Linked DNA regions of Caenorhabditis elegans. The protein of the gene in region 1 purifies or fractionates together with the protein of each later gene. This does not show direct contact. Each region holds a gene or a part of one and is shown in the gene's direction. Other genes may lie near its edges.

Region 1 (4,882 bases):
GACCGTCTGGAAATGGCTAGAAAAGCACTCAAACATACATTGTGATAGCAAATCGGGTTGACCTTATAGTAGTTGATAAGCTCATCAATAGTCGGAAACTTGAATCGCCGCTCAATATAAAACGAGGTCCATTTGCCGGCGGTTTCTTCAATAAACAAATGCATATCCATGTTCTCTTTCTTCACATCCTCCAGATCCCCATAGAAACTTCGTGTGGTGCCGGTTTTTTGTGCTGAATAGGGAACATAATTGTAAAATCTAGAGTTTTTCAACGAACAGTGAGGGCAAGTTCCCCGCAACAGCTTGACAACTTATGAGAAGTTCATTGAATAAGTTTCCAAGCTGCTAGGAAGTTAAAAAAACAAAAAATAAAACAAACTGATATTGACGGACAGAACAAGAATGACACGAGTCAGTGGAATCGGATCAGTGGCACTTTTGTCCGGAGTCGTCGGCTTCTTCGCATTCTTCTCTGGTTGATGCGACAATCTCAGGAGAAAGTCTCCGTTCGTCTTCAACAAGATCAGTTGTAGCTCTTGGAGCACAAAACCATGGAAAAATTGGTATCTCAATAAATAATTGTCAATCATTTCATTAGTTACTCTGGAAATTAAAAAGTGTTTTGGGATATTTGGGATAAAGTTGCTCACCTTCCAACGCTTTTAGTTTTTTCTACATTTTGATACATTGAGTCGTCCGGAAAATTGATCATAACTGAGTTTGAAATACTGCTGCCATCTGTTGTCCTTTCAGTCTTTTCGGTCGTTTCACTCTTACATTCTTTTTTCTCAGATTTCTGAAAATTGAAAATTACATTTTACTATACCAGGAATACCGAATTTGTCTTTTTTTTAAATAATCATACTACAGGCGACCCATTGCAGGAAACTTATTCTAGAATTTCTGATGTCTTATTTTATTTTCAGGTAGACGCGTAGCCAGGTACAGGCAGGCTCGAACTCCCGCACTCCAACTCACCTTCATTGCAAAAATTTTACGACGATTTTGAGTAAAATTATATTGGGAAATAAATAAGTTTGCCTCGTCGTATTTGTTTTTTTTTTCAATTTTTTTCACGGGAGTTTATGTATTTAAACATACAGACAGTGATACAACTCAAATTCAGAAAACTTCCAGGAATCAAACTTCATCTGAAGGATTAACGGTTAAACCAAATTTTCCTGACAACAAAGTGCAAAGTCACTGCTCGACAGTTAGGAACAACTTCCTACTCCTGCCATAATTTAGCATCTTCCTATCAAACCTTTCATCAGCGGCAAGCAGGCAGGCGAGCACGTCTGAAAAATTCATGTCTACTATCGAACCCCTTAGAAAATATATTCATTTTTTGCAATTCACAGGATGTCAAAATATTGAAAATTGTTGCTTATAGAGTGGAAAAAAGGAGATTATTATAATAGCTGGTCTCAAATGTCAACGGCAGAAGTATTTAACTAGATTAATATTTTCAAGTTTCATGTTTTCGGATATGTCACCATTCACCATACACTTTACCATTATCTAAATCTAGAAATGTTACAGTAATCCATGAGCACACAAAATCAGAAAACGAAGAGCAACCTTGTGATGAGCTGGAAAAAGGGGATTAGTAGAGGTGAATGTTGAGAACAGGAAAGAAAGAGAGAGTGAGAGGATCAGAAATACTTTCAATTTATTTATAATTTTATTCACATCACAAATCTCTCTCCACTCAACTGCCCATAGTGATTGATAAGCTCCGGCGTTTCGCCTACTCAACGTTTCCCTCCAAAAACTCCAATCTAACTTTTTATTTTTGTTTCTAGCCAATCTTTTTTTTTTTCTATAGTTTCAGAATCAAATGCTCAATTTTGGAGTCGTTATGTATCAAAAGAAGAGCCCAAGTAATGCAACAGAAAAGTGAGTTCTGAGTGTATCTTACCAAACCGAAAAAAGTAAAAATGCAACCTATAAAACAAGATATTATCTCTCTCATTGCAATAGAAATCTCCCCCTAAAAAAAATCTCTTTGCACATGTCTCTGTCAGTTCTTTTTATGTTTTGCGTGCATAGAATTGCCGATTGTCGGATGATTTTCTTCTTCGTTCGATGAAAGCGGAAATAATAGAGAACAGCGTTTTATTGTGGTTTTTTGTTTTTTCGTGTCAAAGTTTCTGTAAAAGTCATGATGGTAGAATTTGTTCTAACTGTTTTATTCTTTTATTTTTAACTTTCAATTTAATTATAAATCAATTGCATATTATTGTCCATGTAATTAAGCTTTTAAGTTATCAAGAATAAGTTGAAAATTTTATTTGCAAATATTTTTTATGTCGAATTTCGATGCAGATAATGTTTTTTTTTTCCAAAACCGCTAAAATTATTTCAATATTCTTTATTTTTTTTCTATAGTTAAAGAAAAATTTTTTTAGAAAATTAACAAAAAAACTAAAAAATTACCAAAAGTTGTTCATTTTGATGAGAAAAAACATGAAATGTTTTCTCTGAAAAAAAAGGAAAATGGTCAAAATGTTAATATATTTTTGCAAAAATCGAATTGTTTTCGAAATATCTGAAAAACTAAAATTTTTCGGAAACGGTTTTTCTATAATACGCTTTGTATGCCAGGATACATTAAATAGAGAAAAATTGAGACAAAGTCCAATTACTGAAAGTGTAACATTTTTCTTTAAATTATGATCTAGGATAGTTTGTTAATGAAGCGATATTGCTTCTTGTATGCATACCTATGTATGTATGTCATTTCCGAAGTATTATAATATGTATCCTAATCAAGAACATGGATCATAAACATCTTTATTTTTATTATTTTATCTTTATTTTTCAACTCGATGTAAATTAAAAATCTTCACTAGTAGCCAGTAGCTCGACTTTGCAAATGCGTTCGTTTTAGATTTCGTCTTGTTTCCGATTGGCCCGGTTATTACGTAAGCACCTAAATTTTAATGTTATTGCATCTCATCACTACTTAAAAATGAGTCAAGTTTTTGAAATAGAAATACGAGCTTCATTGTGAAGATCACGATATTCTTTTTATTCGAATAAATCTGGTTGCATAGCTGTAGTACGTCAACGGACGAACCTGGATGAAATAGTGAATAAATATATTTTCTATAAAAAGGAGAAAATAAAAGAAATGTTATAGTTGACAGTTAATCCTTTGCATGGTGAATCTGTTGGCGGATGCCAGTTAATCTCCCTGTTTATCCGTATGCTCATATTTTTAAGTCGTCTTCAGTCGTTGTCGTTCTAAAAAATTTGGCCATCGATTGGCTCAGCTTCGTCTTTTTTGCCTCCTTTCACTTCTTCTTTTCTTGTCCGATTTCAGAAAAATTAAGATAATAAATTGCTTCAAATTTTGAAGTGCAATACACTTTCGCAGTCTAAATGCCTCTTGTTTTCTAAAAGTTATGCCAATTATTTATTCTTTAAAAATATTGGACTTACTGCCATGGAAGTCATATAGTTTCGCTACAAAAGTAGTACCTGTTCTGTGGTTTGGGTATTTTTCGAATTAAAATTTTTCCAAACTCAACTTTTTTGTGCAATTCTAAATGTATTTTTATGAGTATTCTTTTTTCTCCCTCTCCTATGTACATCCGCCAGCAGATGCTTGTTGAATTCTTATCGAAAGCTCTTTATCAGAACTTATTTTGAAAAAAATGTCAAGCATTCTCCGAGCATAGGTTTAAAATATTTCTGAAACACAGGTACATTTAACCAATCTCTCAGTTGAAAAGGTTACAATTTTCAGTATCAAATAAAAAAGTATAACACAATAATCTTTTGCACTTGACTCGCGTCATTTATCTGATCAACATGGCTTCATGCTCGGAGAATGTTCTTCTTTCTGCCAAAATGACTCACTGGAAATACTTTGAACATTATCAATGAAATTCAAAATAAAAATCAAAGAATAAGACTTTAAACTTTGAAAATTAGGACTTAAAAATTGTTGTAGAAATGCACCTAGCTCTTCAAATTTTGTTTGCCACTTTTTTACTGAAAATTGATGGCAACATACTTGAATTCTTTGATTTTTTCTCTACTAAAGGAAAACAAAAATCTTTGAAACTTTAAAATCAATGGTTTGTGTTAACTGAATTTGGTTCACCGATAGAACGATTGTTGTAAATCAAGGAGGTTAAAAAATTGAAATATCGATTAGTCATTGATTTTGAAAATTCAAAGCTTCCAGACAGAATGCCTCTTTGAAATACCCTTTGAACTATCAAGCTTCCTCCTCTTCCTCCTCTAAAAATAACGTGAATAAATTGTTCGAAGAGTATGGAATCATCTCATTTCCGATTCATATTCGTTTCCGCTATCAAACAATTTAACAATTTAATATGATATTCAGAGATGAATAAAATGCATTTTCTGCTCGAATGCCTTTTTTAGCTCGAATAAGTTTCTTCTTGCGTATCAGTTGGCAGGTGCAATGCTCAATTTTAATTTTAAGAAAAGTTTACATCAGCAAGCCCTACTTTCTCATTCTCTCCTTTTTAATTTTGTTTCTTTTGTTGTCTTGAAAGAAATTCAAACCCTTAAAGTATAAAATTGAATCAATTGGGTGTTCTTCTAATTGTCTCGTTCATTCAAATATCACTATGCATTAGGGAATGTCATATCAAATTGAATGATGAAAGTAGATTAGAAAGAGAAAAGAGAACATCCATTTAAGTATTCAAGTTAGCTTTTTGATTTTTCTAGATTTTTATGAACTAAAAATTGAGAATATTTACACTTGGCTGAGAACCACGGCGCGAGGAGATCGTTGAAGAGGCTGAAAGAAGCGACATCGCCCAAATATGAGGAGGAATGGCGTCTTCCGTTGAATTTTAGGAATTAGAATTTTTATGAGTATCATCAAGTTAGTTTT
Region 2 (7,520 bases), about 11 Mb from region 1:
ATTGGAACATACAGTTTTTTAGAGAAGAAACAATTATTCGAATTTAGTTCTCTTATTATTCTGTCCTCCGAAACTTCCACCATCGTATGATCGTTTGAAGTCTCCACGTCCGCGACCTCCGAAGTCTCCTCCACGGCCACCACGGAACCCTCCACGGTCTCCGCCTCGGAATCCTCCACGACCACCGCCAAAACCTCCGCGATCCCCGCCTCTGAATCCACCGCCGCCGCCTCTTCCAAAGCCTCCACGACCTCCACGGTCACTGCCACGTCCTCCACGATCCCCACCGCGTCCGCGACCACCTCTTCCACGCCCTCCGCCGGCTTGTGGAAGGAAACGATCAACTGGTAAAAGCTTTCCGGGATCAATGTACAGCTGAGACTCTGGTTCGAATGAAGAGGCTTTTACTCCTTGTGACAATGTGACGGAGAATCCCTGCAGCGAATAAATTTATGATTAATTTTCAATTAAGAGATTACTTACGTTCTCCCCGGGGGATCCAAAAATCTCGTCGATTTTTCCGACTTGTTCCTTATTCTTGAAGTAAATTGGAGCATTGAAATATGGGATTTTTCCACTCGTATTGTTGCAAACAATATCATCTTGGCACTGATGGGAGAAGACACCGACGAGCACAACTTCCTCTGGTGGTCCCTGATCGTAACCTCCACGGCCGCCCCCTCCGAATCCACCGCGTCCTCCACGGAAGCCACCACCTCTGTCACCGCCGCGACCTCCACGGAATCCACCGCCTCCACCGCCACCACGACCACCTCGAAATCCACCACCGCCTCCACGTCCACCACGGAAACTCATTTCTGAAATGTCAAACAATTTTTGAACTTTAAAGTTATTCAAGTGCAAAATAAAATCAAACTGGACATAAAAATATATTTGTTGAGAAATTCAATAGAAAAAATTGGTATTGCAAAACAAAAAGGGGTTTTCTTGTACATAATATTCACAGAAATTTCAATTTTCTAAATATGAGAAAATTAAGAAAATCACAAGAAATTGATTTTCGCCTATTTCGAAGAATTTCATCGCACTATACAAACTTTAGACTCTAAATACAACTTATAAATAACGATTATTTCGTTTTTTGCCAGTTTTTAAACAAGAAAATCAATAAAAACTATTGGAAAACGTTAAAAAATATCGAAAAAAAAATCGAAGAGAAGAGAAAAATGCAGTGAGAAGAGAGGCGTTCGTGGCGAGACCCGTGCCGTTTGAATTAGCGTGCGCCTTTAAGAGACATTTTTTGGATTTTGTTTTTTCGCCGCGAAACCGATCTTTTTCGGTGTTTATCTGCTTTTTCGACAATTTTTATTCATTTTTTCTTGATTTTTCAATACAAATAAACATTTTCCACACGTAGGTTATAAAAATATCCGAAATCTTCCTATTTCTTGGTTGAAAATGCTCATAAATCAGTAGACCAAAATTTTGCTTTTTTGATCAAATGATTTCATATGATCTTCTACTATTGGCGCTGGCGGGTATTATTTTCTAATAAATCAGTCTTGTTTTTTTTAAGTCGAAAATACGCATATTGGCGATTTTCAACGGATTTCTAGCTCTTTTTCAGCTCATTCTTAACGAGGAAATGTAGTCTGTCTTTCTGCTCCTCTCGTATCTCTCGGGTCTGAGCTCTCTGCGTGAACAAATCTGAGCTTTAGCATGAGCTAGTTAATCCCTTAATCCTTTGCGCTCATTTGGCATTCTATTCTATCACACTTCACCTGACAATGTTTAAATTATAAAATTCGCTGAAATTCTCTTCTAATTCGTTCCTCTTCATGAATTTGCAGTTTCCAGGTACATCTACTAACCCCCAATGGTTACTCCTCCTCCAGATGTGCCAAGCACATCGACCAGGTCGATGGCTCGTGACCTTCAAGAGAATCCAAACCGACAACCTGGTGAACCACGTGTGTCTGAACCGTATCACAATTCAATCGTCGAGCGGATTCGCCATATTTTTCGGACGGCTGTATCTTCCAATCGTTGTCGCACCGAGTACCAAAATATCGACCTAGATTGTGCATGTAAGGCACTTCTCTTGAGTTCAAAGCATTTCAATTTTCAAAACTTTCAGATATCACAGACCGAATCATAGCTATCGGTTATCCAGCAACAGGAATCGAAGCGAATTTCCGTAACTCAAAAGTTCAAACTCAACAATTTCTGACCAGGCGGCACGGAAAGGGCAACGTGAAGGTGTTTAACCTGCGCGGTGGATACTACTACGATGCGGATAACTTCGATGGAAATGTTATTTGCTTCGATATGACTGATCATCATCCGCCGAGTCTCGAATTAATGGCTCCGTTTTGCAGAGAGGTTATTTTTCATCACTTCTGTGGCTCTAAAATTTCCGAATGAACGTGATTGCCCTGAAATTTTAAATCATGAGGACTCTATTGAAGGAGGACTAACACAGGCCCAAAATGAGCTCAAATGAACGAATTTCGTAATAAAACTTCGCAAACTGTTATGGCGGTTCACAATTTCGAAAAAATGACACCGATTTTAGCTGAAATCTCGAATTTTGGCCACTTTTCCGTGTCGCATCTGGCCGATGTTGACTTTTTTGAATTCTCGCCCTATATTGCATATTTTGGTAGTTTATATCATGTAATTTCGTCGATTAAGATACATTTAAAACCCATATTGACCCAAAAATCATCAAAATTTGCTACCTACAGGCTTTAAATGTACCTTAGTCAACGAAATTAAATTAGATAAACTACCAAAATATGTAATAAAGGATGATAATTCAAAGTCAATTTCGGGCAGATTAGACACGGAAAAGTGAACAAAATTGGAGATTTTAGGTAAAAATCAGTTTTTTTTTTGGTTGTTTAACCGCCATAAAAAATGTGTGTCCATTGGAGCTAATTTTGGGGTCTATAAGTTCAAAATTGTCCGACCCGTTAGTCTTCCTTTAAATCATAAGAGCTTTATTAATTATCTGTTTTGCAGGCTAAGGAATGGCTTGAAGCAGACGATAAACATGTAATAGCTGTACACTGTAAAGCTGGAAAAGGCCGTACCGGAGTGATGATATGTGCTCTTCTCATCTACATCAACTTCTATCCGAGCCCACGACAAATTCTCGACTACTACTCAATAATTCGTACAAAAAACAACAAAGGTGTCACAATTCCATCACAACGACGCTACATTTACTACTACCATAAGCTTCGTGAACGTGAGCTCAACTATTTACCATTGAGAATGCAGTTGATTGGTGTCTACGTGGAACGGCCTCCAAAGACATGGGGTGGTGGTTCAAAGATAAAAGTGGAGGTTGGAAATGGCTCGACAATTTTATTTAAGCCGGATCCTCTCATAATCTCCAAATCAAATCATCAGCGAGAGCGTGCGACGTGGCTGAACAACTGTGATACGCCTAACGAATTCGACACCGGAGAGCAAAAATATCATGGATTTGTTTCCAAGAGAGCATACTGTTTTATGGTGCCAGAAGATGCTCCAGTATTTGTCGAAGGAGATGTTCGTATAGACATTCGCGAAATCGGATTTCTCAAAAAGTTTTCGGACGGGAAGATTGGTCATGTTTGGTTCAATACAATGTTCGCATGTGATGGAGGACTCAACGGTGGACATTTCGAGTACGTAGACAAAACTCAGCCGTACATCGGAGACGATACATCAATCGGACGGAAAAATGGAATGCGAAGAAATGAAACGCCGATGCGAAAAATTGATCCAGAAACTGGAAATGAATTTGAGTCTCCGTGGCAAATAGTGAATCCTCCTGGACTGGAAAAACATATTACGGAGGAACAAGCAATGGAAAATTATACCAATTATGGCATGATTCCGTAAGTTTTGAAGTTTTAATCAACTTATAGGGTGTTCTACCACAGTTTTGAAATTAAAATGTAATATTCTGTCGAAAAATCGTGGAGATAAGGCTGCTAAATCTAATCTGACTAGTGAAACAGAATAATGTCAGTGTGAACCTAACACTGTCATATGTCGATTTAGCACTTCGTTGGCTCCAATTTATTTTTCTTTTTGAATTCAAATACGTCAGTTTCAACGTGATTTAAAAAGCCATTGAAAAATAGGCCAATATTCGTCAACTTTATTTCAAAAAAAACTACAGATTCTGATTTCTTGATTATTGAATTGTTGAAAATAAAAATAATTAATCATAAACCTACTTTTTCAACAAAAATTGTAAATACCTTCCTCTGCTTAAATTTACACAAATTTATACGAAACTAGTTAATGATCGAATTTTTGAGTATTTTACGTATTTATGCGAGTACAAAATACAAACATTTTCAGTCCTCGATACACGATCAGCAAGATTCTTCACGAAAAGCATGAAAAAGGTATCGTCAAGGATGACTATAATGATCGTAAGCTGCCAATGGGAGACAAATCATACACGGAATCAGGAAAAAGTGGAGATATTCGAGGAGTCGGTGGTCCATTTGAGATACCATATAAAGCTGAGGAACATGTTCTCACATTTCCAGTTTATGAAATGGATCGAGCATTGAAGAGTAAAGATCTTAACAACGGAATGAAACTTCACGTTGTTCTTCGTTGTGTAGATACTCGTGATTCAAAAATGATGGAAAAGAGCGAAGTGTTCGGCAATCTGGCATTCCATAATGAATCGACACGGAGGCTTCAAGCGTTGACTCAAATGAATCCAAAATGGCGACCTGAACCGTGTGCGTTCGGATCCAAAGGTGCTGAAATGCATTACCCTCCGTCGGTTCGATATTCAAGCAATGATGGAAAGTATAATGGAGCCTGCAGTGAGAACCTTGTTAGCGATTTTTTCGAGCACAGAAATATTGCCGTTCTTAATCGATATTGCCGATATTTCTACAAGCAACGCAGTACATCTCGAAGCCGTTATCCAAGAAAATTCAGATAGTAATGAGTTTTTCGAGAAAAAAATAAATAAATATATTTTTCTATTTTCAGCTGTCCTCTGATCAAGAAACATTTCTACATTCCAGCTGATACCGATGATGTTGATGAAAATGGGCAACCGTTCTTCCACTCACCAGAGCATTACATTAAAGAACAGGAAAAAATAGACGCAGAGAAAGCAGCTAAAGGAATTGAAAATACTGGACCCAGTACTTCAGGATCAAGTGCTCCCGGAACTATCAAGAAAACGGAAGCTTCACAATCCGACAAGGTGAAGCCGGCAACTGAAGACGAACTTCCTCCTGCGAGGCTACCGGATAATGTGCGAAGATTTCCAGTCGTCGGCGTTGATTTCGAAAATCCGGAAGAAGAATCGTGTGAACACAAAACCGTAGAGTCAATAGCTGGTTTTGAACCACTCGAACATCTATTCCATGAATCATACCATCCAAATACGGCCGGTAACATGCTGCGTCAGGATTATCACACTGATTCGGTGAATTTGGTTTGAAATTTTAAATTTTGGAATTGAAAGTGAACTTTTTATATTATATGCGGGACCCCTCAATCTACTCACCTTCCTAGGTGTAATTTTTCTAATAATTATTCCTATTGCTATAGTTTCTAATTATATTTCTATATTATCAATATTATAATGTTTCCTCGCTGAAAACCTGCGTATTCATTCGTTGCCAGTGGTAAGTTATATTAATTTTCATTCAGATTTTTAGAGAAATATTTTGAGTATTTAGCTATCGTTATTAAAATAATGATTTTCGTATTGTTCTTAACATTCTGTTAGGTGACTATTTTCTTGTATCGTTGAAGTCCATGCTTCAAAAACAACGACTTTTTTGGCTTAAATACGCTTTCAACGTCGAAAATATTGCCTTAACATCACTTTGGGCAAATTTCTTATTTTGAATTCGATATGCTCGTTTTATTAGCTTCCAGAAAATATAACATTCGACCCATAACTCTCTGATCACCAAAAATAAGAACTCCTAGTAAGATCAAAAACTATCGGGAAATGTTGAATGTATTTTCAATATTTAACTTTCAGGAAGTGAAAATAGCTGAACAAGAGGCAAAAGCCTTCGTTGACCAGTTGCTTAATGGACAAGGTGTATTACAAGAGTTTATGAAGCAATTCAAAGTACCATCGGACAATTCCTTTGCTGATTATGTAACCGGACAGGCCGAAGTTTTTAAAGCACAGATTGCGTTACTGGAGCAGTCGGAGGATTTTCAACGAGTTCAAGCGAATGCAGAGGAAGTCGATCTTGAACACACTCTTGGTGAAGCGTTTGAGCGATTCGGGCACGTTGTAGAAGAATCGAATGGTTCTTCTAAAAATCCAAAAGCCCTGAAAACTCGAGAACAAATGGTGAAAGAAACTGGCAAAGACACTCAGAAGACCCGCAATCATGTGCTTCTACATTTGGAAGCTAATCATCGTGTGGTGAGTAATCTTTTTTATTTTTTATTATGTGATTAAAATGTTAATTTTTCAGCAAATCGAGCGTCGTGAAACGTGCCCGGAGCTACATCCAGAGGATAAAATCCCAAGAATTGCTCATTTTTCCGAAAACAGCTTCTCGGATTCGAATTTTGATCAAGCTATTTATTTGTAAACCTAAAACAAAACTTTTAGAAGATTTTCTTCTTACTGACCCTCCAATTTTCAGATAATTTCAATGTTTTAAGTTTTCTCTTCAAAGTATCATTCACTTTCTGTATAGTGTTTTGTTTTTTAACAAACTATTGTTCGATTATTTTGTATATTCATATTATAGCTCTCAACTTCCCGATTTTCCACGTATATATGTATATTTTGCCGGGTGAAAAATAGCAATTCCCTATGAATGTATCCCCTTCCATCTGTTTTCTTACTCAGAAATTGTAATTCACATTGCGGGTCATCACTAATCCTATGGGCTTTAACACAATTCTCCCATAAATTAATTGTACTTACCAATTTTTTGTTTAATTATTTAGATTTGTAACATTGAAATTGGTGATAATTCCAAAGAAAAATTATATTCTCCGATACATAGAATCTAGGCGCATTCGAATTTACATTGTTTTTCTAAAATTTCAGTTAAAAAATGAGCGCAGATGAGCCGTCTCCAGAAGACGAAAAATATCTGGAAAGTCTACGAGATTTGCTGAAAATCAGCCAAGAATTCGATGCAAGTAACGCAAAACAGAATGACGAACCAGAAAAAACAGCAGTTGAAGTGGAATCGGCTGAAACCAGAACCGACGAATCTGAAAAATCAATCGATATTCCACGTGAACAGCAACTTTTACCCTCCGAACGTGTTGAGCCTTTAAAATCAATGGTGGAACCAGAATACGTGAAAAAAGTGATAAGGCAAATGGATACAATGACTGCTGAACAGCTAAAACAAGCGTTGATGAAGATTAAAGTGTCCACAGGGTAAAATTATGCTAAATTCATTCAAACTTCTTATTTTCCTAACAGAACCCAATTTCGTACATTTAAGATATAGCTTTGCTTCATTTTTGATAGTTTTGTTAAAAAGAAACAGCATTTTTTGAATCATTTTGCGTTAAATATAGTCATCCGT

What was found. The genes of interacting proteins can lie anywhere in the genome.
Region 2: the proteins of kin-4 (region 1) and daf-18 purify together in Caenorhabditis elegans (affinity purification with western blotting, with the first as the bait; one study listed by BioGRID). This does not show direct contact.

Annotation. Positions count from the first base shown.
Region 1 is NC_003282.8:11,423,902-11,428,783, forward strand, and holds the start of kin-4 (non-specific serine/threonine protein kinase), read left to right. Parts: upstream 1-1,840; coding exon 1,841-1,899; intron 1,900-2,232; exon of another isoform or gene 2,233-2,253; intron 2,254-4,882. Other genes in the region: F22B3.8 (Tyrosine-protein kinase), read right to left, coding at 39-232, 380-603, 651-796, 979-984.
Region 2 is NC_003282.8:419,466-426,985, reverse strand, and holds daf-18 (Phosphatidylinositol 3,4,5-trisphosphate 3-phosphatase and dual-specificity protein phosphatase daf-18), read left to right. Parts: upstream 1-1,808; 5' UTR 1,809-1,837; coding exon 1,838-2,048; intron 2,049-2,098; coding exon 2,099-2,343; intron 2,344-2,985; coding exon 2,986-3,851; intron 3,852-4,323; coding exon 4,324-4,926; intron 4,927-4,977; coding exon 4,978-5,422; intron 5,423-5,989; coding exon 5,990-6,388; intron 6,389-6,440; coding exon 6,441-6,560; 3' UTR 6,561-6,975; downstream 6,976-7,520. Other genes in the region: garr-1 (putative H/ACA ribonucleoprotein complex subunit 1-like protein), read right to left, coding at 34-435, 484-816; 3'-5' exonuclease eri-1, read left to right, coding at 7,035-7,369. UniProt on the Caenorhabditis elegans protein: Acts as a dual-specificity protein phosphatase, dephosphorylating tyrosine-, serine- and threonine-phosphorylated proteins.